Ovis aries: one gene and its partners. The protein of the gene in region 2 interacts with the protein of the main gene of each other region in a pairwise test. Links are inferred from orthologs where the notes say so. Each region holds a gene or a part of one and is shown on either strand. Other genes may lie near its edges.

What was found.
Region 1: the proteins of PDLIM7 (region 2) and ENKD1 interact in binary tests that used the Homo sapiens proteins (3 or more experiments, as listed by UniProt). The two-hybrid records come from large-scale screens. The link is inferred for Ovis aries from reciprocal best matches to the Homo sapiens genes PDLIM7 and ENKD1.
Region 3: the proteins of PDLIM7 (region 2) and WWP2 interact in binary tests that used the Homo sapiens proteins (3 or more experiments, as listed by UniProt). The link is inferred for Ovis aries from reciprocal best matches to the Homo sapiens genes PDLIM7 and WWP2.
Region 4: the proteins of PDLIM7 (region 2) and ZMYND11 interact in a two-hybrid assay, tested with the Homo sapiens proteins (2 studies listed by BioGRID). The link is inferred for Ovis aries from reciprocal best matches to the Homo sapiens genes PDLIM7 and ZMYND11.
Region 5: the proteins of PDLIM7 (region 2) and PHF1 interact in binary tests that used the Homo sapiens proteins (3 or more experiments, as listed by UniProt). The two-hybrid records come from large-scale screens. The link is inferred for Ovis aries from reciprocal best matches to the Homo sapiens genes PDLIM7 and PHF1.
Region 6: the proteins of PDLIM7 (region 2) and PAK5 interact in a two-hybrid assay, tested with the Homo sapiens proteins (2 studies listed by BioGRID and IntAct). The two-hybrid records come from large-scale screens. The link is inferred for Ovis aries from reciprocal best matches to the Homo sapiens genes PDLIM7 and PAK5.
Region 7: the proteins of PDLIM7 (region 2) and GEM interact in binary tests that used the Homo sapiens proteins (3 or more experiments, as listed by UniProt). The two-hybrid records come from large-scale screens. The link is inferred for Ovis aries from reciprocal best matches to the Homo sapiens genes PDLIM7 and GEM.

Annotation. Positions count from the first base shown.
Region 1 is NC_056067.1:34,775,517-34,780,118, forward strand, and holds the start of ENKD1 (enkurin domain-containing protein 1), read right to left. Parts: upstream 2,817-4,602; 5' UTR 2,757-2,816; exon of another isoform or gene 2,712-2,756; intron 2,531-2,711; 5' UTR 2,516-2,530; coding exon 2,431-2,515; intron 2,346-2,430; coding exon 2,145-2,345; intron 1,604-2,144; coding exon 1,431-1,603; intron 409-1,430; coding exon 283-408; intron 195-282; coding exon 31-194; intron 1-30. Other genes in the region: C14H16orf86 (uncharacterized protein C16orf86 homolog), read left to right, coding at 3,037-3,141, 3,335-3,561, 3,901-4,148, 4,250-4,602. UniProt on the Homo sapiens protein: Microtubule-binding protein which regulates microtubule organization and stability. Promotes the stability of astral microtubules and facilitates the proper orientation of the mitotic spindle.
Region 2 is NC_056058.1:36,698,275-36,702,561, reverse strand, and holds the start of PDLIM7 (PDZ and LIM domain protein 7), read left to right. Parts: upstream 1-1,247; 5' UTR 1,248-1,321; intron 1,322-2,272; 5' UTR 2,273-2,282; coding exon 2,283-2,378; intron 2,379-4,287. UniProt on the Homo sapiens protein: May function as a scaffold on which the coordinated assembly of proteins can occur. May play a role as an adapter that, via its PDZ domain, localizes LIM-binding proteins to actin filaments of both skeletal muscle and nonmuscle tissues.
Region 3 is NC_056067.1:36,516,137-36,519,992, reverse strand, and holds part of WWP2 (NEDD4-like E3 ubiquitin-protein ligase WWP2), read right to left. Parts: intron 2,519-3,856; coding exon 2,359-2,518; intron 1,129-2,358; coding exon 995-1,128; intron 768-994; coding exon 627-767; intron 1-626. UniProt on the Homo sapiens protein: E3 ubiquitin-protein ligase which accepts ubiquitin from an E2 ubiquitin-conjugating enzyme in the form of a thioester and then directly transfers the ubiquitin to targeted substrates.
Region 4 is NC_056066.1:46,464,728-46,468,583, reverse strand, and holds part of ZMYND11 (zinc finger MYND domain-containing protein 11), read left to right. Parts: intron 1-1,874; exon of another isoform or gene 1,875-1,919; coding exon of another isoform or gene 1,920-1,970; intron 1,971-2,433; coding exon 2,434-2,595; intron 2,596-3,856. UniProt on the Homo sapiens protein: Chromatin reader that specifically recognizes and binds histone H3.3 trimethylated at 'Lys-36' (H3.3K36me3) and regulates RNA polymerase II elongation. Does not bind other histone H3 subtypes (H3.1 or H3.2).
Region 5 is NC_056073.1:7,745,473-7,749,070, reverse strand, and holds the end of PHF1 (PHD finger protein 1), read right to left. Parts: intron 3,580-3,598; coding exon 3,431-3,579; intron 3,267-3,430; coding exon 3,171-3,266; intron 2,989-3,170; coding exon 2,920-2,988; intron 2,765-2,919; coding exon 2,641-2,764; intron 2,536-2,640; coding exon 2,468-2,535; intron 2,314-2,467; coding exon 1,911-2,313; intron 1,829-1,910; coding exon 1,734-1,828; intron 1,465-1,733; coding exon 1,384-1,464; intron 1,235-1,383; coding exon 946-1,234; 3' UTR 601-945; downstream 1-600. Other genes in the region: protein CutA, read left to right, coding at 53-156, 273-399. UniProt on the Homo sapiens protein: Polycomb group (PcG) that specifically binds histone H3 trimethylated at 'Lys-36' (H3K36me3) and recruits the PRC2 complex. Involved in DNA damage response and is recruited at double-strand breaks (DSBs).
Region 6 is NC_056066.1:2,811,646-2,816,114, reverse strand, and holds the start of PAK5 (serine/threonine-protein kinase PAK 5), read left to right. Parts: upstream 1-1,464; 5' UTR 1,465-1,582; intron 1,583-4,469.
Region 7 is NC_056062.1:82,966,143-82,970,591, reverse strand, and holds the start of GEM (GTP-binding protein GEM), read right to left. Parts: upstream 3,127-4,449; 5' UTR 1,910-3,126; coding exon 1,874-1,909; intron 1,620-1,873; coding exon 1,280-1,619; intron 1-1,279. UniProt on the Homo sapiens protein: Could be a regulatory protein, possibly participating in receptor-mediated signal transduction at the plasma membrane. Has guanine nucleotide-binding activity but undetectable intrinsic GTPase activity.

The DNA of each region.
Region 1 (4,602 bases), on a different chromosome or scaffold from region 2:
CCCAGGAGTGGGGGGAGCAGTAGGACCTACTAATGGGGCACGTGACCCTTCTGCGTGGCGTTGTAGTGCTCCTGGGCTTGCCGTTGCTGCTCCAGCACCTGTGCCAGGACTTGCAGCGAGCGAGAATGCCGCCGGGGGGCCCTCTTGGCAGTGCGGGCATTGTGCATAATGAAGTCCACACCCAGACCTGGGGCCTGCGGGACATGGCCAGCATGATGAAACAGCACTGTGTGGTGCCCCGGAATCCCTGCCCCACCTCCCAGCCCCCACATATCCTCTCACCTTAGCATTGGGACCTGGTAGGGTTAGCTGGGGACTGGGGACACGGGGTGGTGGGAGCCCGGGGCCGCAACGGGAATGGGCCCGCAGAAAGTGGGCTGGCTCAGTTCTAGAGGCAGGGCCGGGCTCCTGGAGGCCAAGGCAGAGCGGGGGGTGGTCAGTCAGGCTGAAGTCAGGGTCTCAAGCTGTAAGACCATGCCTCTGTCCCTCCTGTCTTTCAGGATCTTTCTCTATCACCAGTCCTCTGGACCTGGCCTCCTTCCTCTTGAATAAGTACTTCCATCACATCAGCATTTAAACCTGTGTGTTTTTCACATCTCTCAGAAAACATATTTCCCTCCCTCTACCTCAGTCCTGGCTTCAGTCATCGTTCTCTTTTTCTCTCCTTCCTAGTCAAGCTTTCTGGCTCTGTCCCTACCAAGGCCACCAACAGCTGGTCTCCAAGCCCCCAAATCCAGGGTCACTTCCCTGGTTTCACTATCCTCAGCCTCGTCCTCAATAGCTCCTGGGTCTCACTTCTGAGATCCAGACCTGATTCTCCATCTGCCTCTTGGACACATTCCCACTCCCTGGAAGCCCCACAAAAGCTTCAGCTTCAACACACCCACATATGACCTTGTCTTTTTTTCTGTCCTACTTCTCCTTCTCAGACCCCTGGAAAGAGAAGTGGCACCACTAGCTACCCCAGATAGAATCTTACCACCATACATACCCCTGCCCTTCCCATTGTCCTTAGAAATAAAGGTTTAAAAAAATGGATTTATGTGGCCCTTTATGATGTGGGTCCAGCTGACTTCTTAGCCTAACCTCATGTTCTTCCTCCCTCATAGTGAACTGAACACAGCATCCCCACTGCCCACACTCCTAAGTCCCTGGTGTTAGGACCAGGGACCCTGGAACCACAAGGTTCCATTTCTATAAAATGTTCTCCTCTATTCTCCCCTTGCCTAATTCCGACTTGCCCCTCAGAATCACCCAGCTGTCATCACTTCAGAGAAAGGCCACAGCCCCACTCTGCAGCAGGACCAGCTCTTCATCCCCTGTGACCTCAGCCCACTGTGGGTTTCCTCCCTCCTCATAACTCAAGTCAGAGTATAATGTCCTGTTGGCCAACAAGACGGGCAACACTTGGGGCTCCCTGAGGCAGGTACCTGCAGCTGAGCCTTGACACGCGACTCCACTTTGTCATACTTGGGTGAGCGCCACAGGGCCTTCAGGGGCCTGGATTGGGCCTGCTCCTGGCTGTGCTCCTGCTCACGGAAGCGCCTCTGGATTTCCCTGATCCGCCTCATGTTCTCCTTCTCATGGTCTTTAGGGTCCTTCCCTGGAGAAAAGATGTTGCCCTACATACAGCCCATACAATCCAACTTACCCCAGTGGACACACAAGCCCACACCCTGCCTCCCTGACATACTCTAAAGTCCACCACATAACCTTGTTCTCGTCCTCACACCATAATTATCTTCTGTTTCTGATGATTTTATACATATTTGATTATGAAGTATACTAGTAATCACCTTGCATATCCTATTCACCTCTTCACTTGTTTTACTGTCTCCCACCTTGATTCAATGATGCGCTTCTTCGACCTTGTTCTCCTAGCACCCATAGGGCCTGGAGCACAGCAGACACTCAACAACCAACCATGCATAAATCCATGAAGCTGAGCTACGGGCTTTTCCGGGGTATGCCTCATTTAGTCCTCTCCTGCGAAGAAGTCGTGCATTTCCCGCTCCTTCTACAGTTGGGGAAACAGACACTCTGAGAGGTAAAGCCTGAGCCCAGAGCAGGGAAGGGGAAGCAGCCGTCTTTTTATCTGTTTTGACTTCAGAGCCGCCTCGCTGTCCGTTCTGACCAGAACTTACTCTTGGGAGAGGCCCCTGGGCCTAGGGAGATACCCCCGAGCTGCAGCAGCACACCACCCACGCCGCGACGGCCACGCTCCAGGATTTCTAGGCCTCCCGGACGGATGCGAGGGGCGCGGGGAGGGGTGGCGTCTAGGTCCGGGTCCGTATCCGTCGTCAGCAGGTCCAACTTCGGCGCGTTTCCCTCAAGGCGCCCTTGGGCTGAGAGGCCAGACGGGGCAGAGTGCGGAGTCAGTGGTGGAGCTGGGCCCGACCCTTGCCAGGCCGCTTTCACTCCCTAACTCACCCGAAGACGGCCTCCGGTAGTAGTCCGGACAGAGCGTAGGGTCTGGGGGGATGGGCCCCGAGATGCGGGACGGACCCTCACACATACCGCCGCCGCCGTCCTGCAAACGTTGCACCTGAGGCCTGCCGGGCTACGCGTCTCTGGCTCCAAACCCGGCTTCTCAGCCCAGTGCCTCCTCCCTGGCCCCGGGTCCTAACCTCAGCCGTGCCCTGCCTGCGTTCCCGGCCCCCACCCCGCCTCCCGGCCCCGGCCTGCGCTCGCCACCTCTGCTCTCAGCCCACCTCTCAGTACCGTTGGCAGGCTTCTCACTCGGGCAAGGGGCTCACCAGAGCGGTTTTGCCGCCCACTGCCGCCACCCGACGGGTTTGCTGTTGCCAGGCAACAATGGTTTCCGTCCGTGAGGTCAGGGGCCAATGGCCTTGGCGCAAAGCCTTCTGGGGCCTGTAGTTCCAGCTGAGGGGGGAGCAGAACGACTGTCAGTTGCCCTTCCCAATCCGGTCCTCTCCCGGGTCCGCTCAGGGTCTACTAGTCTGGCCCCTCAGGATCCGCCCTCCATCCCCAATGCCCCTCAAGCAACCGTCGAGGAAGTGCTGATCCGCCGCAGCTATGGACTCCGCAGGGGCTGAGAAGCGGCCAGGGGCCCAAGAAGGGGCAGCCGTGGGGCAGTCACAGCTTACAGAGATGCCTGGTGGCCATGCTCAGAATTCTGAGGTGACCATCGGGCTGTCTAACCTTCAAACACTTGGGTCATAGCGCTTTAATAGACCAAAACTGCCAGGCCAGGTTCCACAGGCTGGGAGGGGCATGGGCTGGTGCCCTTCATCCAGAGTATTTAGAGTCTAATGGCTGGTCCCTGTATCCTTTACCTGGCCATGGTGACCAGTTACCTGTGTGTCACCGCTAGTGTCCAGTGATGGGAGACCAGGGCCTGGTGCCAGCCCATGAGGCCTGCCAAACCCAGGATGAAGATAAATGTCCAATAAGATCCACCTCAGAGCCAAAGATCCAGGAGAGACTCAAGCTGGAGGAAGACAGGCACAAACCAGAGGTGGAGGCCCTGGAGGAGAGAGGTCCCAGGCCTACGGCCTCCACTGTGAGGCCCAGTCATGGTCCGAAGAGGAAGCCGGTCAAGTGAGGGGGCTTTCAGAGGGAAGAGACTGGGAACTGGGGAGGTGGTGTGGGGGTGGCTCATACCCCAGTTGGATTCTTAAATGGGGCCTTACAGTAGTGTCCATCCTTATCCCCTGACACCACCATCATTCCTCACCTCTGCTGACCCTCCAGAGCCCTGATGTAGGGAACATGCAGAGCAAAAGTCTCAAGGCCTGGTAGGGGACTGAACTCCCATGATCTCTGGGTCCCTGTCCAGTCCAGGGCCTCACTGACCAGGAAAAGGACAAGGATCACGGCCTGGGGAGGTAGGCAGGCAGGACTGTTCCCTAGGACAGGGCACAGGAGCCAAGGCTGCAGGCTGGCTCCTCAGGCCTCCTTGTTCCCCAGCCTCACAGGCCCGAGCCACCAAGCCCATCCTAGGGCAGAGAGTGAGTTGCCACAGGGGCTGTCGCTGCAGAGGGAAGAGCCGGAGAATAATCAGAATGAGCCCTCACCATCTGCCAAACAGCACAAAAAGACCAAGAAGCGCAAGAGTCTGGGAACCCCAGTGCTCCCAGTGGTGGCCAGCACGGTGTCGGCACCCTCAGTGACCTTGGGGCCTGAGCGTGAGTGGCATTTCCTGAGCCTTCCCTTTTGTCCCAGCCAGCTGGACCCAACACAGCCCAGCTTGGCACTCCAGTCATTGCCCTGCCCTGGGTTCTTGTAGGAAAGGCCCAGCGCCTGCGGCCCCTGTACCAGTACATCAACTATTGCAACCCTGAACTGAACCAGGCAGGGGAGGGGGACAGGGAGGCTGAGGCTGAGGTGGAGCCTGAGTCAGAGCTGACAGTGGTCCCCGAGGAGGCGGGTGTGGAGCAACTGCAGGCATTGCTGCCAGTGGCAGGTGAGCTGGGCTCCGACCTCACTCTGCCCTGCCCCAGTATGTTTGTGCCCCCGACCCACACTCTGGTTCCCCTGGGGGAGGAAGCCAGTGAGGAGCCTGGGGGTCTGCCCAGCTTGGGGGTAAGCGGTTGCCTCAAGGCTGAGATGGACAAGTCAACTCAGGTGGACATCAACAAG
Region 2 (4,287 bases):
AGCTGTTTCTAGGTAAGGAAAGAGGAAAGCTGAGAAATCACCATTGATTGAATAACCTGGAAATCATTAGAGACCTTTTGAAGAGGGAATTAATTCAGAGGACTGGTGGGGACAAGAGCTTGACTGAATGAGTTCAGGAGAGAATGGGAGGAAAAACGGGGAGGAAGGGTAATAGACAACTCCAAGGAATTTTACCCTCAGGGAAAATAGAAGAATAAGAGAGAGATTGCTGAAAAGTGTTGTGAGATCAAGAGAAAATTTATTTAAAGATGAGAACTCTTACATCAGTTTATGTAGTGAAGGGACTGATGCAGAAGAGGATGAAATATGATAATAGTGGAGAGGGGAGAACAGCATTGGCCATCCCCTGAGGCGTGGACATCTGTTCACTCACTCGCAAACCTGGATCCCTGCTCACTTTCCCCCGCTGCCTGAGCTAGCCGCCTGGGCTGAGCACTGGGTCAAACTGGGGACTCTGACACCCTCAATGGAGGCGCTGCCGGTTCTGGAGCGGGTAGCAGGACATACCTCATCAAGACAGTCAGCACTTAGGTGGGGTGGCTGGGCTGCTGGCCGCTGACTGCGAGGGGTCGGTGGTAGGAACAGGTCAGGAATGAGTAACGATTGGGGCCAGAGCCAAGGGTCCCTACACCTGTGTCGACTGTCATTTTCTGCCTTCGGTGGAATGTTCTGCAAACAACTTCATGCTCCCCCGTGTCCTCCTCAACTAAGCCCACCTCGAGGTCCCCCCCACCACCACCAACTCTCCACCAAATCCGTCCTATTTAGAAATTCTGGAGCCTCCGATGGCTGTACCTTACGGCGAACTGTGCCTGTCTTCACGACGGCCCTGTGAAGCGAGTAGTATTGTCCCATTTTTCTGAGTTGGAAACTAAGGTTCACAGACGACTCAGATCCAGATCTGTCTGGTTCCCAAGTAGACTTTCTTTTCACTCAGCCAGCTGGAGGCGCAAAGGGCCAGGAAAGCGGAGGGTTAGGCTCCCAGACTAGGTGTCCAGCAGCCGAGACCCCGCCCAGACTCCGTCCAGGCCCCGCCCCACCGACGGGACCAAGGAGGGCTGTGTCTTAGAGCCCAAAGCTAGATGGGACCTGATGATTGGGTGGGGCGGAAGGATTGGGTAGGGCTTCCCACTGCCCGGGCGACCGCGACTTTTGGAGGGGGCGGGGCATCTGGCTCCGCCCCCCTACGCGGGCTCAAAGCGGATGGCAGCCGCGGGGGCGGGGTCAGAACTCGGGCGGCGGATCCCAGCGCGGCTCTTTGGAGCCCGCCGCGGAGCAGCGCCCCGGTGGGGCCCAGGAGGTACTTGGGACAGCGCGGGGCATCTCGGGCCGGACCAGGCGGGGGGCAGAGGCCTAATGGGGACCACAGAGGGGGCTGGGGGTCGTAGCCAGCTCTGCAGTTCCTCCGATGGGCCGTCGCCCCTACCCCCGCCCCCGCCTTCCTGCGGCGAAGCCGGCTGCGGCGGGGCTGATTGGCGCCTGCGCCGCTTCCTGCGCCTGGGACTCGGCCAGTGCTTGGGGCCCAGGCGGAGGCCCAGGGGGAAACTGAGTCACGTTGGGATGGTAGCAGTCCTGTGTGGGAGGCACCACCCTCACTGGGCTGCAGGATAAATCTTTTTCCTGACCGTGCTTTGGAGTCCCAGCCCCCACCGTTCCCTCCAGGGGCCTCGCCCCCGCCCAGAACCCAGCGCTCCCAGGGGTCCTGCCCTGGCTCTCAGTAGCTTCGACTGGGCTTGGAATGGCTAGGATTCGCTCCAGCCGCCTCCCTCCGCACCCCTCCCCCTCGCGGCCCAAGCCCCCGTGTTCTCTCCGAACAGTGTCAGTTTACACGCCTTATATAGTCCGAGCAGGCTCCAGCCGAGGCCTGCCTGTGGGGACCTGGGGGCGGGGGAGAGGAGTGCCGGCCCTGGACTGGCATTGCTGTCCAGACCAAGGCTCAAGACTGGCTGGGAAGGAAGTCATGCCAAAGTAGTCCTGCTGTCCACTCCTGGGTGAGAGGAACCTTATGAGTGGATGCGGGCTCCCTTCACCCCCCGCCCCAGTCCTTTGGGGAAGGGGGGTTGCCCCTGTCTTTCCAAAGTGAGTCTGCCAGCTAGCAGCCCAGCGCGACCTAACAGGGTGCCCGCCTACCCTCCCCCTGGGTGTGCTCAGCGTCTGCCAGTGCTTGCCTGGCGCTAGTCCAAGGCTGGTGTCCAGAGTAGGGCCTGCCTGTGCACCCACTGTGCATCACTCACTTTTTCTCTCCTCTCAGGAGCAGCACTATGGATTCCTTCAAGGTGGTGCTGGAGGGGCCAGCACCTTGGGGCTTCCGGCTGCAGGGGGGCAAGGACTTCAATGTACCCCTCTCCATCTCCCGGGTGAGCCTAGGTTGAGGGAAGGGTTCCTCTGGGGGTCTCTGGGTGCTCAGATCTCCAGTGGGCGGCAGGAGGAGTCTGAGCAGGAATGAGCCGACGTCACAGACCAGGAGGTGTCCAGGTCCAGAGCTGTGGGCATCTGCCACAAGGACTCCCAACTCGGTAGATACTGGGAAGGGAGCAGCCCTCAGACTTCCACAGCTCTACACTGCACCTTCTAGGCTCAGGAGTGTGCCCATTCTTCAGGAGGTGAACCTGCGGTCTCCAAGAAGTATCTATAAACTGCTTGAGGAGCAATGTTTGGTGCTAGGCCCCTGGGAGGGCACTCTGACTGCAGGAGCTCACTTCATCCTCATTGCCACCTAAGGAATAGCAACTACCACCCTGTTTATTCAGATGAGATAACTCAAGACTCATTGAAGGAACTCTTTCATCAGTTCCATGGCAAAGCAGGCATGGGGCTTCAAACACAGGGATGGCCTGCAGTTTTTGTGGGTGGATAAGGTGCTTCTGCTTCTCCCCAGCCCAGGTGAGGACTTTTATCCCATTCACTGGTTCCATTCAGGATGCAGTGGTGTTTGGGTATCTAGGGCTCTGACTTCAACTCCTGAGAGCCTGTCCTGGTGGGGGTGGAGCTGGAGGCTGGCTCCTCCCTGTGGCAGGGGGATTGCCTTATAAGCCCAAGAATGCAGCCCCATGCTGGGATAGTCAACTGGTGGCTGGAGTCTGCAGAACTAAAGAAGGCTGGCCTAGGCCTGGAACCCTGAACCCCATCAGTGGGCCCCTCAGCCGATCATCAGGCTGTGGCTACAACTGTGGGATCAGTTGTGGGACTCGGAGAACAAAGTGCCTGCCCTGAGAGGGTGAGGCCAGCCCTTGGGTTGGTGTCTCTTGACTGTAGTCTGGGGGTCAGGAGTGGGCGGGGATTTCTGTCCCCATATCCCCTTGACCAGAGAGGCACACCCAGGCTCCTGGTGGGCAGCTGTTGGCATGAAGCCCAGGGCAGGCTTAGCCTGGAGGGGTCTAGAGATCCCAGCTTGAGGGGGCCCCAAGGTAGAGTCTGTTGTAGTTGGGCTTGGTGGCCAGGACCTGCAAGCAGTCACTGTTCCAAGGGACCCTTCCACGGGGTTTCCTGGAAGCTGCTCTGCCAGCAAGGTAGCTAAGGGCACTGATCTCCCTACTACTTACACCCAGCCCATACATAATACTCAAGCCTTGCCATCTCTGGGAACTCATCCTATACTCCACTTCCTGAGAAAGTGCTGGTCAGTGTGGCTGGGAGCTTGGCTGACCTCTGAGCCTCAGTTTATTCATTGGTGGGGATGGGCAACAAAGCAGCCTAAGGGATGGACTTTCAGATGTGGCCTGTTGGGGGCACTCTGAGCTTGGGCTCTGTTGTCAGCAGCCCCAGCATGTGGGTGGGGCCACTGGCTGAGCCCAGCCCTGGAGTTGGACCTAGGCCCTGGTGGGTGGGAGTGAGGGTGGTCTTTTCGGAGCTGGGCTGGGCCCCCTCCCTCTCTCCTGACCCTAGCATGGAGGAGGAGAGGGAGGGGCTAGGGCTGGCTGGAGGCCCAGGCCTGGGAGATGAGGTAACGTCTGGGACTTGGGGGTTGGGCTGCTCAGTGGAGCCCTCAGGCTGACTCACCCCCTACTCCGTGTGGTGTCCAGCCCCCTGGCTTTTCCTCTCCTTGGTCCCTTGGGCCTCCTTGCTTTTCTCTCCAGACACATGCTGCCCCCCATCCCCAGGTCTCTTCTGCTTCTGTCTCCACCTCTGACTCCTCTGTCCCTCCTGTGTCCTCCTCATCCCAGAGAAGGAAGTAGTTGCCAGTTCCCCATCCCCTCTCTGGGAGCCAACAGCTCCAGCTCAACCGGAGACTCCCACCTCCGTGGGCTAGCCCACACTTCCCCGGAG
Region 3 (3,856 bases), on a different chromosome or scaffold from region 2:
CCTCTGCTGGCAGCAAGGAGGCAGCCGAGAGCCGACCTGGGGGGCGGGATACCTGGGCAACTTCGGCCCCAGAGCACAGCCTTTAAAACCTCACAGTAACCCACAGACACCTGAATCTTCAACATCTCTTCCTCCTGCTCCTCCCATCACCGCTCACTGAAGCTCAGATGAACGGGGGTTAAAAGACTGGCCCAAGGGACCTGAAGTGAACAGGCATGTTCGTGTACAATCCCACAGGTGACAGTGGGTTTAAGTAGACAGAACACAGGTGCCCTTTCAGTTAGGAGAACAAAGAAGGAGTTGTCGAACTTTTATGCCTCTTCAAAGAAATTCTGTCCTGCAGTCATGAATCTGCAACTTGGGAACAAGGAGCACCCGGGGGCTGGAACACAGGGCCTCGGGCTCTGGCTACCCAGCTCTGGCCAGCACATGACTGCCACGGCAGTGGTCTAGGGTCAGTGCAAAACGGAAGGTTCTTCCCATCCCTGGAGACCCATGGGCCACACGAGGGGGCCTAGCTGAAGATGGTGCCCTGGGATAAGGGTGTGAGCCTCTTTCTCTGCGGCCGGCTGTGTCTCTGCCCCCACTTCCCAGGCCCCACCGGCTCCCTAGCGCTTTCCACTCACATGATGTACTCTTCCTTGTTCTCCTCTGTCACTCGGATGCTCTCGCCCCCTTCCTTCAGCTCGTGGGTCGTCACCTTGCCCAGGATCTCCATGTCCTGGATGAAGTACAGCTCTAGGCCGCACTCCTCCAGGTTGTTCTCTCTGGGAGCACAAGAGACCAAGAGGGAAGGTGTCTGTCTTAGAAGGGTTCCCTCCGTCCTGCCCCGTCACTCACTTTCAGTGCCGGTGGGACACGAGGACTCACAGGTGGCCTGGAGCCCAGAACAGCGTCCCAGGACAGGGGGACCTAGAAGCTGGGCATCTCCACCCGCCTACTACCCATCCAGAGACCCCTCCTCTCCCAGCAAACGGCAACAGAGGGGACCCACTTGATCCAGACAATAGAGTTGTAGAATTCGGGGTCAATGGATTCCAGGTCTTTCAGGGTTGGTCTCTTGTTTAGCATCCGCTTGTAGAAAGGAAGTGTGAAGCCTGTATCAATGAACTTTCCATGGTACAGAGCCTGGGGACAGAAGAGACATGGCAGAGAGGTCTGGTTTTCCTCAGATGCCCCATATCAGAGCCCAACTACTGCTCCCTGAGGTCCTGAGCATCCAGCTCTCCCAGGAGCCTGAAGGCTAGGTCTGCAGCCCTCTTGGTCCCACCTGCAGACCACAAGGACCCACCTCTGACCCACTGCATGCCCACCAGCCCCTCGCTCTAGCAGAGGTCTACCTCCACCCACACAGAGGAGACTCGCTCAGCACAGCCCCAGGTGGCGGCCCTGACTCACTGCTGCTCCGAGCTGGGCAGCAGAGGCAGCCAAAAATAATGCAGACACCCCTGCTGCTGCTGGCGGGCCAGCAGTGAGTAATAGTCTAGGGTTTTACTGGTCTGTCCTGTCAGCCACAGGGCCAGGCGGGTCTCTAGACCTGGGAAGAATGTGCCCACTTCCTGAGCCCTAGCACCTTGGCCAAGAACCTCCAGACAAAGAGAAGGAATATACTTAGTCATGGGCTCCTGGGTCCTCCTGAGAGGGGAGCAGGGCAGACACTCACTCAGGAAGTGAGGGGAAGAAGCAAAGGCAAATTAGCCGTGAAAGCTCTTCAACGACCAAATGTGGCAGAGGGACCGGGCCTTCAAAGGGCTCCCCTTTCTCCATCCTGGGTCTCAGTGCTCACGAGGTACTCAACAGGATGCACACGAGGTGACGCCCTTTCCAAATTTACACTGTGCTCCCGTTTCTACATAAATACAAACGCCCGACTCCCCATTCCTTGCCCTTCCCTCCTGCCAGATGACTCCAACATCTTGCACCAGTCGATCACCTTGCTCCCTGTTCTCAGCTAGTGTAGATTCCCCATCCCCTTCCAGAAGGCCCAAGTCTCAGTGGGACACTCCCAGACACCGCCACCCAGCTCATGGCAACACCCAGAGACGGGCCCGTCATCCCCCACCCTTGACAGCACATGCACTGAGTGTTAAGTGAAGACTTTAATCCGGGGACCCTGGGCTTTCTCTTGACAAGTCCTACACAAATCAACGTGAAAACCTCCTCAGTGCCCTAGGGTGGGCACTGAGAGAGCTCTGGACTATTTCCAGAACTCTCACTAGCTTTCTGCATCTTTAGTGAGGCGTTCTGTAAGGATGAGGGTGGGGCTCAGAGAGTGGGCACCCAGTCTCCAGAGCTGCTGGTGGTCTACAGGTCTGTGACCACACTCCCTGGAGGTCTGACGACAGCCATGAATCTTACCATGGCGATGAATCGGCCGATAAAGCGGAAGTAGGTGAGGTGGTCAGGGTTGATGGAGGAGGCAGGGTTGATCTGCAGGCAGTAGTTGTTCTTCCCGGCATATTCAAATAAACAGTACATGGGGTTGAGCACCTCATGGGACAGGAGGAAAAACCACTCTCTGTGAGAGAAGAGAGAGGAAAACAGGACTAATGGACCACACCCTGCTCACCTGCTCTGCAGGTCCGAGTCTTTTCTGCCGTCAAGTAGTACCTAGTCTGGAGACATGCATCCTGAGGAGGCAGCCCCACTGGGATCAGCCCTGGGCTAACCTCTGTGAGCAGCTGGTCAGTGAACAGGGCAGGGCCAGACCTAGGGTGAATCAGAACAGCAACTGCCCTGGACAGCAATGCTCAGGCACACCCGTGTGTGTGAGTGTTGGCTCCAGGTGTGGTATTCTGGGGCTTTCCGCCTGATATCCAGAGCATCTAATGGCAAAGGGGCTCCGCCATTCTGGGTTGCCATGCACAGTTGTATAGACTGCACACTGCACAAGGGTGTGACGTTAAAATATGACAGATGTGTACATTTGTCACAACAAATTTCCTGCAAATAGCATCAAGCTGCCTTTTTTTTCCTAATAAAAGCAGTATATTGTGACCATTTTCCAGCACAGAAGTGTCTTGAGAAAGGACACTTTTTTTCTAAATCTTGCAAAAGGGCTCTATGAGCAGCAGTCACCCTGCTTCCAGCCTACCTAAGCAGTCTAATACGAATACACAGTAATGTGCTCCTAATCCTTGATGCGGGACAATTCTGTTCATCAGGCTGTGTCTACACCTCGCTCCCACCACCCCACCACCCCTTCACCCCAGACCCACCACCATACCCTTCCCTGTATGTCCACGAACTCATCTGAACCAACGCCCACACCTTAGCATCTCTTTGCACCCCAGGTACAAGCTTCAAGCCAGAATTCAGAGTCCTTTGAGGCTTGAGCTACACAAGCAGGGGGACGTCCCAAGGGGGGCAGTCCCTGGCTGCTGGGCTGTTTGTGGCCGGGCAGACGAGGAATCTCTTCGATGCAGAGGGTGCCCCGGTATCCTGTCCGTGGTTCTACCCTGTGGTAGAACAGCATGACGTAACCTACCATAGGGTAAAACCACTGGCAGGACACAGAGAGACAGACACACACGGGGCGGGAGCCACACCACCAAGGAGAGCCTAGAGAGGAGGTCACCACGGTCACCACGGAAAAAAAAGAGCAATCGACCCACGGGGGCCAACACAGAGGGCAACGCCACCAGCACACAAAGGACCGGGAGCAAGTTAACCCAACACCAAGCGAGAAGATGTCCCACACCAAGAGAGGTCGGCAGGCTGAGCGGTCACCACAGCCAAGACGCTCCTCCTCTCTGCCGGGGCCCTTATGCCCCATCATCCAAGGCAACATTTTGCCAGAGAATCTATTAACTTTTGTAGCAGCACTGGGGTGAGGGCAAGACAATGCTTTGAGTTC
Region 4 (3,856 bases), on a different chromosome or scaffold from region 2:
GAATAGTTACTGACTTCTGGTGAAATTCAGTGAAAATGCAAGCTTAGTGTTTTGGCATACACTATTGAATATTAGTCAAAATCACTACATAAATGAATTATGTTTACTGCAAGACAAACCATATGCAACTCTTACCTATAATAAACATATCATTTATACCTCAGAAAAATGTTTCCTGGATTCAGAGTGTAGACACTTTTGACCTTGACTTTGCATGTTCTGTATATTTAAACAGCTATTGCAGTGATTGAAAGAGTAAACAACGCATTCATTCCCAGCTCATGCTCTCTTTTATATCAGAAACAAAGTTAGTTGATGCCATTATACAGACGTTTATCCAAATGTTTCTCTACTTCATTTGAACTATAATTTCGCTTTTATAATTTTTATGAAAAACTAGGTCAAGAATTAAACACCCCATTGAAGAAAGATCCGTTTTCATCCTTGTTTCTTGGGTGGATGGGATAAGGTAGGGTTAGGCGAAGGTAGGAGGTGACAGGAGGAGGCCAGAGTGGTCCACCAGCATTGTGTTCTCTGACTTCCTCTTCTTAGTTAACCTAGTAATTGCCATGTTGAGAATCACATGGAGATGAATTGATGTGTAAAAAAAAATCTCAAATGATGAAGAATGGCGGTTTCTTTTGTTAATGAGTATATATAAGCCACCAAAATCCTTTTAAGATGTCTCTGAACAGTTACAAGGAAAATATTCTGAAATATTTGGTTTTAAATTTGGGGAGAGTAAATTTTAAAAAGCCATCTTATCTCCATTGGAACCTAAATTATCAATGATTTTTGGTGCAAACATTGAAATAGCTAAAACACAGCTTCCTTATGAGCTGCGTGAAAGAGATACACCAAAGATTGTTACACCAAAGATTGTTACTTTAGTACAGCTGAGCATCACAGTATACTGTGGCACCGCTATGTCAGACTTTGTTGGGGAGCTTTTTTCTACCATGCACAGATGAGGCTTTTATGTCAAATCAGTACTTTATGGTCTTTTAAACAGTCTGACTGGAATTATTCCTCCCTTACTGAGTGAGCAGAGTCTACACATCTGCCGCAAACAACTGAAAATGGTTGTACTTTTTTTCTTTATTACTTTGGTTGCTACAGATTGCCAATTTCTTACTAAAAAGCAAGCAAAAGAGTTTACATTTCTGCAGAACTTACTAATATACTTTAGCTGTGTCTCTGAATGTAGATTGGAAGGTGTGAAGTTTCAGAACATGAGCTGCTCATGTTCCATTTTGAAGGAGAGAGACGTAGCCTTCTCATATGGTTGAGCACCACTGCATTTGAACCCTCGGTGCCAGAGTCAGTGCTGACTGAACAAGTGCTCTATCATAGCCATTTATTGCAGGAGTTATTGACCTAAGAGGGGATAAGAATGCTGTTCACTCTCAGAAGCAGAGTGTAGACAGTGATTTATAAAAAGAAAAATGGTGCCAGAGCCCAAGTTTAGAATTTCAAGATCCTCATTGGAAATGGCCTTGATAATACTAACTGTGGGTTTAACCCTTATTCATTCAACTACCACATCTGCAAGAGAAGGTTGAGAATTAATCCATCACTCTTAATGGGGGTGTTTTTTGATATATGCTAAGAGTGATATTTATGAAGAATGAATTCCAAATTAAGGGAAGTTACACTGGTCTCCTGTTTGTGTTTAAATGGTACTGGCTGTACAGAAAAAAAAGTGTAACAAAGAAAATGTTGAACACCTGTTATGGTCTTTTATTTCCAGGAATAGTCCCAATAAGAAAATAAGCCAGCTTCCTTTTTTTTTTTTTTTGGTGGTAATGTCCTTTGGAGAATGTGATTAAACCTTTAGTTTTCACATTTTCAATTTATTTTTCCAAATTCAACAGACCCTGAAAATTTGACAACCTATCAGAACATGGACATTCTGATTAATGATTATTTTCAATAAAGCATCCAATACCATGGATGAGAAGATAAGAATAGTGAGCATCACCATTTATTACTATTCTCTCCGTTTCCAAAGTATGCTAAGTACTTAGTATATTTCTTTAAAGAAAATCAGGACAAAACAGAGGTTTGTTTATTTGAAATACTAAGTTATAGATGTTGCTTTGGGGTATTCCATTTACTGAAGAAATTATCCCATAGATTCTATAAAAACTGAAAGATAATGTTAGAAGTTGTATTGGCTTTGGGCTTACTTCATTTTGGACTGGTTTTGTTATCAGATCACCTTAAGATATTTCTGAAAATAAATATGTTTAGGAGAGAATTGAAAATTGAAAGAAGCAAATTTCTAGGTATTTTTCCCTCTTGTTTTAACACAGTAAATGTTTAAAATTGTTTATAATGCCTAACTTCTGATGGACTTTAGTTTCAATTTTGTTCTTAGTCATTGCAGATATTGACAAAATGTCATACGAAATTATTTTGTATTTTTTGTAGGACTGGGAAACAGAAAATCATGACTGGTATTGTTTTGAATGCCATTTGCCTGGAGAGGTGTTGATATGTGACCTGTGTTTTCGTGTGTATCATTCCAAGTGTTTGTCTGATGAGTACAGGCTTAGAGACAGCAGTAGTCACTGGCAGTGCCCAGTTTGCAGGGTGAGTACCTATGAGCTTTAATGTGCTGGTCAGAGGGTTGGAATTCATTGATAATAGCTGCACAAAGATATCCCAGGTGGTCTTGCCAGGTTAATGGATAAAGTACTGGAGGGTGGGGGTTATCTACTGAAATGATGGTTAATGAACATAGAACACTCATAAATGAATATCGCAGAACACATACTCAGGGTATGGATTTTAGAAAGTTTGAATCATGTAAAAATATACTCTCTTCTTTTTACAATTCCCTCTGAATTGTGTGACTCCTTTAATGGACAGGCTTTGGGAATCAAGAACCACTGTCCCATACCAAGGTCTGTTCAGTCAGTCCTCTTGGCTGCTCAGAAAACACAGGTAGCAAAAGGCACATTGTCAGAAAAGTTCTGTATCTACTTTCCATTTTATATCCATGTAATGTTGCCTTTATTTTTTTGTCATGTCATGGGTTTATTTCTTTTCTTTGGAGGGTGGAGGGATGGGACAGTTGTATATCAAGAATTCTCCAAAGTGAAATAGTCTGGTAGGTAAAATAGGTACTTCCCACGATTATTTTCATTCATATTATTTCCCTGTTGAAAAGTGTACATGATTGTGCTTGTTGGCTGCCGATGTGGTGTGTGTGTGTATGTGTGAGTAATCGCGATGCCTAGGTACCACGTGATGTATGGCCTTGATGGTGATCAGTCAGGAATTATTTGATTGGAACTTGTATTGTTTTGTACTTAACTATTGTTAATATACTCGGAATCATGCAAATTGCCGAGATTACTCATGGGTTCTGTTTGTGAACATGTTTTATAGTACTTGTATAACTTAAATATTCATTTCTTCTTCAAAAAAGTTATGTGTTTATCTCCTCTTTGATGCCAGCCAAAGATCATCTGGTTCATTTGCCAGCATGATGAGCAAACTGCAATGTCCCTTCTAGTCGTCTTTTAGTGACTGTGGCTTTGTGTTACCTGAGTATGTTTCTTAGCAGCCCTACTGTACTTGTTTAGTAGGCAGACAGAAGACTGTTGGTATAGCATTTTAAATACATGTGTTATGATGACATGTAATCAGATGCCTAAACGCTAGATAATTAGTGATAAACCTTTAGGTCTGAACAGATCAGTATCAAGCCTCAGGGTGTGGGCCTTCTCTAGAGGCCTGCAAGAATTTGAAGGCTACAGTAAATCAGTATGGAGCTGTACCAGTGTCCCACAATTTACTCTCATGGATTTGTGTTTTACAAGTAAATAGTTTTCACTAACACTTTACA
Region 5 (3,598 bases), on a different chromosome or scaffold from region 2:
ACAAAAACTTAATTCTCTGACTATTTACTTTGACCCCTATCCCTCATCCCAGATCCTGGAATCAAGTTCACCCCCTGATTCAACCATGTTTGTCTTCACCCCTCAGATGATCAAAACCCAAAGTTCCTTGGTTCCAGCTCTGACGGATTTTGTTCGGTGAGAACTTTGATGTGGGTAGAGGTGAGGGTGTAAACTGTGGGGTGAGCCTTCCTGGGCAGTCTGAGGGGACAGACTCCTTTGGGTAAGTCTTTGCTCCCCTATCGTTTCCACAGGTCTGTGCACCCTTATGAAGTGGCCGAGGTGATTGCATTGCCTGTGGAGCAGGGGAACCCCCCGTACCTGCAGTGGGTGCGCCAGGTGACAGAGTCAGCTCCTGACTCCAGCACAGCCCCGCTGTGATGAACCTTTGTTCTTGCCATGGTTTTCCTCATAAATTTCAACACTCCTACCTTGTGATGACTGGACTCTTTAATAAATCCCATTTTTAGTTCTCTCTTCCATTTTACTTTCTCCTTGTCAAAAAGTGAATTTGGTTGGGAAGATCAGAAGTGCTTCTAGTCCCTTTCTTCTCGTTTTTTGGAATGATTCAGGGCTGCTAAGTTTGTTTATTTATCTTTATTTCAATGATACAGAGCCCAGGATCTGTTCTTCTCCCCTCCTCAGTCTCCGTCCCCAGGGGTTAAATAATTTTTAAAAATATTTAAAAAGCTGTAACAAAATAACATCAAAGGAAATGAGGGAATGGTTGGGGGGAAGGTCAGGAACCGTGAAGGGAGTAGAGGAGAGCGAGCCTCTTCCCCAACCCCCAACCTGGATTCCAGCCTGGACAGTAGGGGGACATACCCCCCTAGTGCCCCAGGTACATCCCAGCTGTAGGTGAGGTCAGAGGTCAGGGTATGAAAGTGCCGGTGTGTGTCAATGGGCAGTTAGGCAGAGGCAGGCTGTTCAGAAGATGCCCCCACCTCCCCACTCAACCAGGTACTGCACAGAGCCATCAGGCCGCACTCTCCGAGCAAGGACCCGGACGGGATCCCCACGGGACAGGTAGCCGACCCCACCTCGGACTCCACCCCCAGCCCCAGGAGACAAACTACGGCACAGGGGAGAAGGGGGTGCTGAGCGTCTGGGAACACCTGGGGAGGGGGCTGGGACTGAGGAAGATGAGGCAGTCATCGAGTGGGGGGCACTTTTAGGGAGGTCTGTGGGGAAACCAATGTGAAGTTCCAGGGGTGACCTAGGTAGAGAAAGCAACTGTCAGTCCAGATGGAGATAAAACACTGACCAGAAATGGAGGCCGTGTGGGTCAGAGGAATAACAACAACATTTAAGGGACCACGAAGTGAAGAGGCCAGAGGCATCACAGGCAAAGGAGTAGAATCTCACCTGTCTGGGGGCTCACCATCCCCAGAGGCCCCTGCGGTGCTGGCAGAGGGGTGGAAGGAAGCGAACATCCGGATGGGACTGCTGGGGTTGGGAAGGAAGAAAGTCAGGACCCAAAGCCGGGGAATAGGACCCTCTCCCTCTGGGAAGGGCAGAGTGCAAACACTATCCTCAAGGAATCTGTCCCTAGAATACTGGGGAGCAGACCCTGGTTCTCAAAGTCTCTAGGTAAAGAAGTGGGCAGCCAAAGGGGAGAGGGAAAAGAAGTTTGGGTGAGGAAATCCAGAAGATTGTAGGCAACTGGAAGAGGTTCCAAGGGAGTGTGTCTGGTTGGAGGGAGGAGATGCACTGACCTGGGCAGGCAGCGGGCATCTGTGGGCCTGAAGTTGTAGCCGCTGCTGCCCTGGTAACTCTGGTTAGGGCTGGAGGGTGGTGGAGACACTGAGGCCTAGAAGGAGCAAAGGACTGAGAGATCATCCTTGATTCCTTCCCACACCACCATTTGCCCACGGGTGCCCCTGCCCCTGTACCTGCAGTGCCCTTTGCAGACGAGCCCGCTCCCTCTGCTCCTGGGGCTCGGGCTGGTTGCGCACTGCTGAGGGTGGCCCCAGCTCCTCCATTTTCCCCTTCTGCCTCCTCCTCAGGGGCTCTGGCTCCGGCCTCCGGCGCTTCCCCAGGGGACGTGAGACCCCTCCCCCAGGGCCCTGCCCTGAAGGGAAGCTGTAAGAGGCCTCCTTATCCCCCCAGCCCCCTCCCGGACACCCCAAAGACCTCCCTGTTTCCATACATACACCCTGAGAACTTCCCCATCCCCCCTGGACCAGTGACCTGGTGGGGGCTCCGTCTCCAGGAGGGGGCTCCACAGGGGGAGGGATCCGAGCATGGAGACCAAACAAGCATTTCCTCTTCTTAATCTCCCTCCCTGAAATGAAACTGGGATGAGGAGAGAAATGATACAGGGTCAGTGCTGGAGAAAAGGGACCCTCCTATGCTGTCAGTCCTTCTCAGAGGGCATCTTCCAGGTGAGCTGCAGCCCCTCCCTCTCAGGCTGCGTCTCCATCTCCTCCTGAGCCTCCCTCCAACTCACCGGTCCTTGTGGCTGTTGAGAGCGGAGAGGAGCTTTGAAGACCGTTCTCCCTTGGGGGTTTCTGAGAGCTGGGGGAGAGGATAAGAAATGGGGTCAGGAGAGCAGTGATTCCCTCACCCATTTTTCCACATCTCCCTGGCCACCCTGACCCCGAGAGGTTCACCACCCCTTACCTCTCCAAGGAGCAAACTGTCCCAATTCTCAGAGGTGAAGGGGAGGATCTCACGGTCAAAATCAAAGTATTTTTTCTTACAGCAAACACTGAGATGGTAGAGGACAAGATGCGCCACGTCGACCCTGGAGAAACACTGGCTTGTCAAGGTGGTGAAGCACTGCAAAAGCCAGGGGCAGGCAGGGGTGTCCCCCAGGTAGGGGGCTGGGGCCTGTAAAGTGAGAAACTGAGGGTGCCGAGAGAGGAGTGATGCTGAGATCGTGCCCCATATCCAGCTCACCAGCGAAGCTGTAGCCTCCGGACCTTCTCAGGGCCCCCCCGACACACACAGCACTCAAACTCATAGAACCTGGACGTAGGCAAGAGGGAGAGAATACACCTTTTACAGGAAACTACACCTGCCCACGGGGGTGGGGGTGGGGGTGTTCCGAGCAAGGATGGGGCTAACCAGTAGGCAAGGCTTCAGAGCTCAGGAAGACAACCTGGTCTGGGATGGGGGGCAGAGCTCCTGGAGGGTCTGCCCAGGCTCACCTGTCCCCGTACAGGAGGGGCTTGCTCAGACACTGGGTGCAGGCCTCGTGGAACCACTGCAGGCAGCTCCGGCACTGCAGCATCTTCAGGTTCCACCTGAAGTGAAACGGGACCAGTGACCCCCCAGACACACCCTCCTTAACCGCCCCAAACCCTGCTCACCACTCTCCCGCCCCCTTCAGCACTCCTACCACCCTGCCATTCTCCTTTGTTCCCACCCCCATCACTTGTTCCCTAGCCCCCCGCCCCTCACTACTCACTCCCCAGGGCCACCACAGTAACAGTAGCTCTGCTGGCGGTTGCTCAGATGTCCAGCGTCCCAGTCCAACCCCTTCAGTCCATATGGCAGGGAGAGCTTCATGCCCAGCATGGCCCGGGCGTAGGGGCCCTTCTTCAGTGCACCCCCCCTCTGCAGGTGGAACAGACAG
Region 6 (4,469 bases), on a different chromosome or scaffold from region 2:
TTGCTTTACAATATTGTGTTGGTTTCTGCCATACAACAACATGAATCAGCTATAGGTACACACTTGGCCCCTCCTGCTTGAAGGGGCACCTCCACCTCCCACCCCATCCCACTCCCTAGGCTGTCACAGAGCTCGTGACTGAGCTCCTTTATTACAGCAACTTCCCACTAGCTATCCAGTCTACATGTGGCAATATATATGTTTCAGTGCTACTTTCTCAGTTTGTCCCACCCTCTCTTCCCTACTCTGTCCACAGGCACTGAATATTTTTGACAATGCTGGAGCCTTCAGGGATTGGGAAGGGAGTGGGCAACCCAGGGATTTAAGATGAACTACAAGATATCTTTGCAAGCTTCAACCCAAACATCACTCATCTGAAAGCCCTGTCATCTTAGGTAAACACCCTATTCTTACCATGGTCTGTCAGTCTACTTAACTGGCAAGCCCAGCCTTACCATTCGATGCCCAATAAATTAACATTTTGATGCCCAGTCTAAGTTTTTGTCCCAGATCAGGAAAGGTTGGGAACAGCCAAGGCAGGTCAGGTGGTTCAGACTTGAGTAGAGGCTCAACTGGCAACGAGTGTGCTATCCAACTAGCAAAGAGAGCATGACAAGGTCCAGCTTTCCCTAAGGCTCAAATTCTAAGTCAGAAAGTAGCCCGTTTGTGTGGGTGCTCAGAGTTCAGTGCTACTGAGATTCCTTCCAGGGTTGGGCACAACATCCCGAGGGTATCTTCACCTGTTAGACGCCAAGCCGTCTGTAGGTCGAGCGGCTTCTGTGGGAGCCAGAGAATGTTTCTAGGCTGGCTGCTTGCAGGAGGGCCACCTAAAGGTCACAGGAGAGGGATTCTCTAGATCTCGGCTGCTCGACGTGGTCAGAGGAACAGCGACATCAGCATCCCCTGGGGGCTTGTTCAGCTTGTAGATCTCAGACCCCAGTCCAGAGCAAGCGACTCCGAATCTGCATTTTAATCCCTAGGCACCTTGAAGTTGAAGCAGCAAGGTTCCAGGTGGTAGCACCAAGACTAGCGGAAGGACCTTTCTCTCGGCCCCGCCCTCTCGCCCTTTGCTCTCCCCTTAAGCTCTGCACAAAATTTCTGCACAGTGTGTATGAGGAGGGGGCGTGCAGGAGCTGCCCGTGGAAGGCAGAGGGAAAGTGGGATCAGATCAGCGAGAAGGGCTTTCTCCAGTTCAGATCCCACGGCGTGAGACACTCCCCCCCCCGCCCCGCGCAACCTCTCCACCCCCGCCCCCCGCCCCCCGCAGCTGCTACTGCCAGCCTCCCTCCGGCAGCCACGAAAACCCGGAGCAGCTGCGCGCGCTCCTGCAAAGTCCTCCCAGGGCGAAGCCGGGCAGCTGGGCATGCTCAGTAGCTGGGGGAGGCCTGGGTGGAGAGTGGGAAGCTGTGGCTCAGCCTCCGGCCCCTCCCGCCGGCCCCCGCCCCCTTTGCCCCTACCCAGCCCGTAGTAGTTGCCCGGCGTGCGCCCGGGGAGACCGGGAACATGGCGCTCCGAGCGATGTAGCTGCGGAGGAGGAGAAGGGGACGCGTCTCTGCCGCCGTGCTGACAGCCAAGCCACCAGGTAGGCAGGCGCGCCCGGCAGGGCTGCCCGGGTGGGTACGGGCGCCGGGAGGGGCGCTTGCGGGGATGCGCACGGCGGGACCTCGGCACCTGGCTTTGCCGGGAGAGGATGCGAAGCGGACATCTGTGACAGCGCGCGATTGTGCATCTGTTAGGAGATGCCAAAGGCTGGGGACCGACTGGCTGAAGGGGATGGATTCGGGAACCGCCCCCCGCCCCCCACGCCCATGCACTGCCATCCAGCCTGGGCTCTCTGCGGGTCAAATAAAGGGTAGTTCTTTTCTGCTGAGCAGGAGGGCATGGGGGAGATACCAGAATACCAGTCCTGGGAATGCGCTGGTCCCCCGGACCGCGGGCAAACCCAGCACCGGCTCTTTGTGTATACAGCCCCGCACGCCGGGGGTGCCGCGGTGCCTGCTTCTCTGAGGAGTGTTGGACATATTGCCAGGGAAGGATTCCCGTTTGGTTTTTGTCTCTTGACAGGTGTAGATTGGAGAATGCAATAGCTCAGGCTTTATGGGACTGTTTTCCTTTGTTACTTGCCTTGGTGTGTGCGTGTGTGTGTGTGTGTGTGTGTGCGTGTGTGTGTGTGTGCGCGCGCGCTCGCGTGGTGGGTTGTAATGGAGAGAACTTCTGCTCGTGGGCACGGGTGTGGACAGAGCGTGGAAGAGAATCTCGGTTCCAAACTCTCGTCAAAATTGCCTGCGATGTTAACCTCCTGGAGGATAAACTTGAAAAGTCCAGAGATTATCAGTGCCCAGGTTGAAGGAGAAGCATATTGGCCATTCTTGAACCTATGTGTGCATATCGGGAGCTTTAAACCTGGGACGCAGGGTAATTCCACATTAAATGTCAATTAAGGGAATTTGAAGCATTGGGATGTTATCTATAGTGGTCTTCTTCTTCTTCTTCTTCTTTTTTTTTAAAGGCCAAATTAATAAAGAAAAAGAAAAGTTGGCACAAAGCCAGAAGACAGTGTCGTCGTTAATAGTTAATGACAGCTTTAGAAGGATAAATATACTTTTGGGGAAATCAGGAAACCAGGTGTTCCAGAGGGTTCCACCAAAAAATAGATATAGGGTCTTAGGTAACTCTCAAAACCTCTCAGAGCATCCTTTTCCTTTCTAGGGTTTGGTGGCAGGTCTTACTTGAGTCCAGATGAACCACACCACTTTTTAGAAGTCCCCCCTACACTAGAATTCTATGAAATTGAAACTGCATAATAACAGCTTTGCACCTTACATTTGTATGTCTGATTTATTCAGACCTACAACTCACTGAGTTAAGGAGGAAAGGTAAATTTAGAATGTGCTTTTATTTTTTGATTTGTAAAGGACAGACATCTGTGACTATGAAGTTTAGACACACTTCCCTCCGTGCTTACAGTACTTATTTTTATCGTCTCTTTAGGTGGCAAGAATGAGTCAGTATCATCAAAATGAAATGGGAGAAACTTGAGAAAAATGCATTTAATTAAATTAAAACCATAAGTGTCCAATCTGGTGATAATGCCTTGACTTCGAATTCATATGTGCAAAGCAGAAGCACTGCTGATGGGAGCAGTAGAAAGTGAACCTCACTGATAGCACTGGGTTATATGGTGCTTCTCTGTGAATGGGGAAAGTTGAATTGTACTAGATCCCTAAATTTGTTAACAAATGTGTGAGAGAACTGCAGACATTGAAAACACTTTGTGCCTCTCCTCTGTCATTTTGCTAAAATGTTGCAGGTGTGAGAGGCAAGTGTTCTGGGATCTCATCTTGGTGGTGAGACAGTTGGGTTTGAGCTCTGACTCTTCCCTATTTAGCTTTGTGATCTTGAGCAAGCTATTTAACTTTCCCAAGCCTCACTTTCCTCAGCTGTAAAATAAGCCTAGAGGTAAGACTTAACCTAAATTGGGTAGAGGTATGGTTTACTTATAAAACACAACCAGTGGTGGTGATCATTATCAGAGGAAGGAAAACGGATGTTTATTCAACATATACTCTATGCCCTGTATTAAGCTAAATAAGTTCAAATGTCTGATCTCATTGAATCTTCCCGACTAGAGCCTGTCAGTCACAAAGAGTCAGACGCAACTTGGTGACTGAACAACAAACAGATGGCTTAAAATGGCAGAAATGTATTCTTTCACAGTTCTGGAGATTAGAAATTCAAAATCAAGGTTTACTCAAAGCCATTCTTTCTTGGAAGCCTCAAGAGGAGGATCTTTTCTGGCTTCTCCCAGTTTCAGGTAGACCCAGGTATTCCTTGTTTGGGGACAGCATAACTAATTTCTGCCTTCATCTTCACACTGTGAAGTTCCCCCATTTATAAATATGGAGACCATTCATATCGGATTTAGGACCCATCCTAATTCAGTGAGACCTCAACTTAACTTGACGTCTGAAAAGATCCTGTTTTGTAATCAGGGCACATTTTTAGGTTCTGGTTGGGCATGAATTTGGAGGGAACTCTATTCAGCCTTGTATAACCTATGATAGGTATTTAAGGACAGTATTAGTATTATGTCACTATCAGTAGGATGTAAAGATAAAATAGTATGGATTTTGAAAACACTTTAAAGGTTATTTAATCCGGGCAATATATTTGAATTTTTATATACCCAAACATGATAGAGAAAAACAGTATTCAGAGGTACCTCATTTATACAAATGTCACTTGTCTAGAAACCAAGGTAATCTAGGGTTTCAATCTTAAACAGGTAACATAGCTGATATACCCTGGCCTAGATGGATTAGTTAATGTTTGCCTTCCTCCCTTTTTGCTTCCCCACCAACACAATGCAAACAGAGAGTAGAAAACCATACTAAACAACAAAAATAACAGTCACAAAAATTCACCAATCTTAACACCTTTCTAATCTTTCTTATCCTGGTAAATGGCAC
Region 7 (4,449 bases), on a different chromosome or scaffold from region 2:
TAAGACTCAATGTGCAGACATGATGTGAGGACCAAAATAAACAGTCACAAATATAAGGCACCCAATAAAGTATCTGTCCCACTGCAAAGGCACATACTAGATGATAGCCTCCTGCCTGTCTCCTATAGGGACACACACCCATGGGTCTTTACCAAAAAAAGAGATACTGAGCCTGCTTCTCCCTTGAACTAGGATTTAGCTATCATCCCTGAGACGTCAGGAGTGAGGAGAAAAATCAATGTTCTATCAATGAGTCATCATTTAAAGCAGGTTCCGGAGCTGCCTCATGAAGCAATGAACTCCCAGACAAAGGAAGAATAGATGTTTAGTAGAAATGGGCTGACAGCAGTGAGGAAGGAGTAGGATTTCTGTGCATCAAGCAGAGGGCAGAACTGTGTCATCACTAAAGCATCTTCCTACTCCTGAAATCTGTGATTCAGCAGTGAGTTGCAACTGAGCGTTCAGACAGACCATGTCACTGGGACAAGCACACTTACTTCATTTCCACAACTGCAAACAGGGACATACAGTGACCCTGGCATTGTCTAAGATCCTGTGGCTGAAAGACACTGAATTTAAACCATCGACTACAGGAGCCTCATTTTACTTCCCAGAATACAGTGCTATGCTTTACTTGAGGAATATGTGATTTTTTTGAGACTGTATCATCTCAGATCAGTTTTGGAAACCAAGGCCTAAATAATAAATACCTTAAATGAGATTATCCATGGAAAATTGAAAAACCGTAAGTATACTTACAAACGTTAAGTATCATCATTGCTAACTTTCAATATCTTTTTTAAATATTGTGCTATTGAAAATAGAGATTTTAAACAATTTTATACCCTCTAAAGCCTCTAATACTGCAATGAACAAACTAATGAATTCATCTTAACAGTTTTCTAATTGGCTTGGTTTTAAGTATCACCATGGAAAAAGGCTGTCTCTACACTGAGTGCTTGAAAGGTCCAGGTCAGAACTGGCAAAAGCCAGAGGTGGGATCCTGACCCTCCGGCTCCACCCTCCGTAAACCGTCTCCCTGGTCCCTTTAGAGCTGGAATGTAAGAAATTCCTTCTCTGGCCCAGCTTCTATCTATAAGCATTTTCACTTTCTTGTCCCAGAGGCCTATGCCAGCACGTCTGTGGGGACTCGGCTCCCCAGGCAGAGCCAAGAAGGCATAATCGCACTTCCCAACTCTGCAGACAAATGACCCACCCACTCACTCTTCCTGCTGGACCACTGCTGTCCCGTAAAGCCCTCCGGAGCCGGGCCACCTACCTCCAAGCACTTCGCAGTCGCTGTCCATGCTGTCATGGACACCCGCAAAGATGTTGGCCAGAGTGGACTTGCCCACCCCCTGCTCCCCGATGAGAACCACCCGGTAGTAGGTGTTCCCGGACTCGGAGGAGATGACTGAGTCCGTGGAGTCGGAGGACCAGCTCCGGCGGCAGGGGTCCTCGGGGGCGGTGGGGGGACGGCTGCGCTGGCCGTACTGCGGGGGCTCCTTCTGGACCATGAGATGCCTGCCATCGGCAGGGATGCTCCAGCGCTGCTGCTGCGGCTGCACGCCCGCCGTGCCCTGGCGCATGGTGACATGGTTCAGAGTCATCGTCAGGTCCTGGAAGGCAAAGCAGCCAAGATGGTAGCATCAGGAAGCATGAGTTCAGGGAGCTCGAACACAGTCATCAGTGATATTTTAGTATGTGAGGTTACCAAGTAACCCTCACACAAGGAACACCAGTGAAGCAGTCCCCAAACCCAACAGGCTTTCAACTGAACACACACACACACACACACACACACACACACACACACACACACACACACAGCAGCTCCTCAGGGAGACTGTCATTTGCAAAGAGGAAAAGGTACCGTTAATATCGCCCACTGCCCTGGGGCTTCCTCCATCCTCAAGGAAGCCTGGGGATTCCCCACTCAGAGCGGGCACAGAGGCAGCCAGAAGGCACGAAGAGCCTCTAGAGAAGGCTTGAAAAGCAACAAGTTAATGCAGCTGGGGACCAGCTGGCCAGGTTAGCCGCTGATGTCTAAACATGGCACTTAAGTAGCAGCAGCACCCAGCAGGCTTTTATGCCTCAGTGGGGAACACGTGACAATGACATCATCCCCCCCGGCTGGATTGGACCAGGGCTGATTGGAACTTCCATGTTTAGTAAAGTTGCCCTGATGCCTGAATATGCTCTTATTTGAGGGGGAGAAGAATTTCTGCAATAGGTATATGCCTCACTTCTGCCCCCTGCCCACAGATATCACATTTAACCCATCCCTCTGCCTTGTCCTTCTGGCAGGGAGAGGACCTGCTCACGTTCAGAGCTGTCAAACTTGCAGAGACAGTGCTTCACTCTTTTTAAACTCTGTCCACTCCAAGAGTTCCTTTCCATCAGCTCGGATTTCCACCTTCCTGAAGCCAATCAGGTCCAAGACTCCCTCCAGAAAGACATTCAACAACGTGGCTACAGCTTGGCCTTTCTCAAGACTGCCTCCCCTTGCCCGGTGGTCTGGACTCCCAGACTCTCAGACAGAAAGCAGAAGCAATCTCATTTTCAGCAGCAAGATGCACCGGTGAGCGAGAGACCCTCCCCTTCCCGCACGCACTCCCCAGAACCCCAACACGTCGATGACCCTAGCCGCGACCCTCACCTCGATGACCCTGATGACCGATCGGTTTGTAGGTTTGTTTTTTTTTAATCTTACAAGCAGCGCCTCCGGTAGGCCGACTCTTCAAACAACCAGTGCCTGAAGTATCCCTGACGGCTGTCCTCCGACCACAGTCTGGAGGAGGAGATGACCCTCCAACTGAACTGCACGAAAGCAACCCGCCACCGCCGAATGGCATCCTTCGCCCCTTAAACTCTGCAACACCCCTCACCCCCCCGACCCCCGATCGAAAGACCACCGCGCCGGACAGCAGGTCCGGAAGGTTCTTTTCCCCACTTGGAAAGTTCTCCGCGGGCTGCGGACGCCCACCCCTTCCCCCAGTCCTGCCCCCCGCGCCTCTCCGGAGGACCCCGCTCCCCGCCGCGGGCTGCTCGCCTTACCGGGGGTGCGGCTGAGAGCGGACGCGCGCCGCGATGCGGGCGGCCGATCGCGGGGTGACTGCGCCGGGTGCGCCCGCGCCCGCGCCCCGCGGTTTATACGCGCGCGGCCCGGGCTCTGCCGTGACGTCAGCGCCCCCGCCCGGGGTTTGGGGGCCGGGCGGCTCTGCAGCAAGCCCCGAGGGGCAGCCCCTTCGCCAAATCGGTGACTCGCCGTCATGTGACCCCCGCCTCTCTCCCCTTTTAAAAAAAAATAACGACAGTTGAATCCCGGCTTCCTTTATTCTGGTTTGTTCTTTTGACCAGGCGGACGCTGGAAGGGGGCAGACAAAACACGAAGTGCCCCTTAATTGCACTTTCCAGCAAAACAGTTCGCGAGCTGTCCGGATGAAGGATGGAGGAAGAGGCAGGTTGGGATTGGAAACCCAGTTTCGCCAAAAGAAAAAACAAAAACAAAACAAAACAGGGGGCTACAGCCCCATGGAAGTGTTCGGGGCTTGTGTCAGCCGCATCTTCTGCAAGGAAAACGGCCTCTGCCCGCTCCTGTCGCCTTCCCGGTGAATGAGGGAAGGAGGGGATACCCACACTGCTTGTCTCCCTTCTCTGACCGGGACCCAGAGAAAAGGGGCCAGAGGAAGGTGGGGCAAGGGGGCAAGACCTTGAAAAGGTCTTGAAAAAATAGCTTAAGTAGGGATCCAAGCAGACTGTGCTCAATGTGGCTAGCCCTCCTGCCCTGGACCAGGACGCTGAGGCTCCTGGATCAGGGAATTTAATCAGCATCCCGACTAGTAGCATCTCCTGTACCAGGCTCCCTGGCATGGCCGGTCCTGGCCGTGGGGCCAGGGCCTCTGGCCATGCGAGGAGCCTTAGCCTGGGTTCCAGTCCCAAGAATGATGCCTGTGAAAAAAGGGCACAAGATAACAGAAACAGTCACTTCTATCATTTACTGAGTGTCTCTGAGTTCCTATATTTAGTAGGTACTGTTAGACCTCTGCAGTATCTCAAACTTTACTACAATTCTGCAAGGTGAAGATACTGCTGCTCCCATTATATGGAGGAGGAAAATGACCCCCAAAGTCAGAGAGCTTGCCCAAGGTCACGCAGCTCATGTATGTGGCAGCATCAGGACTTGAAGCTCCGCTTGCCTGGCTCTTTGCACTGTGCCCCCAGCTGGAGGGATTCAGTGACCTCTTTGGCAGGCCACGGGCATTTCCCAGACACTGTGTTTGGAGGTGACACTGGCCTTTCCAACACACCCATCTGCTTTTCCAGCCAGCTGCATCTCTGGATGGGCTGGTGGCCCCGGAAAACAGCCAGAGGCACCAGCATCTATTCAAGTGGCTGGACCCTGCTGTGAACAGAGTCTGTTCTCTGTTACTCTGCAGCATTTTCATG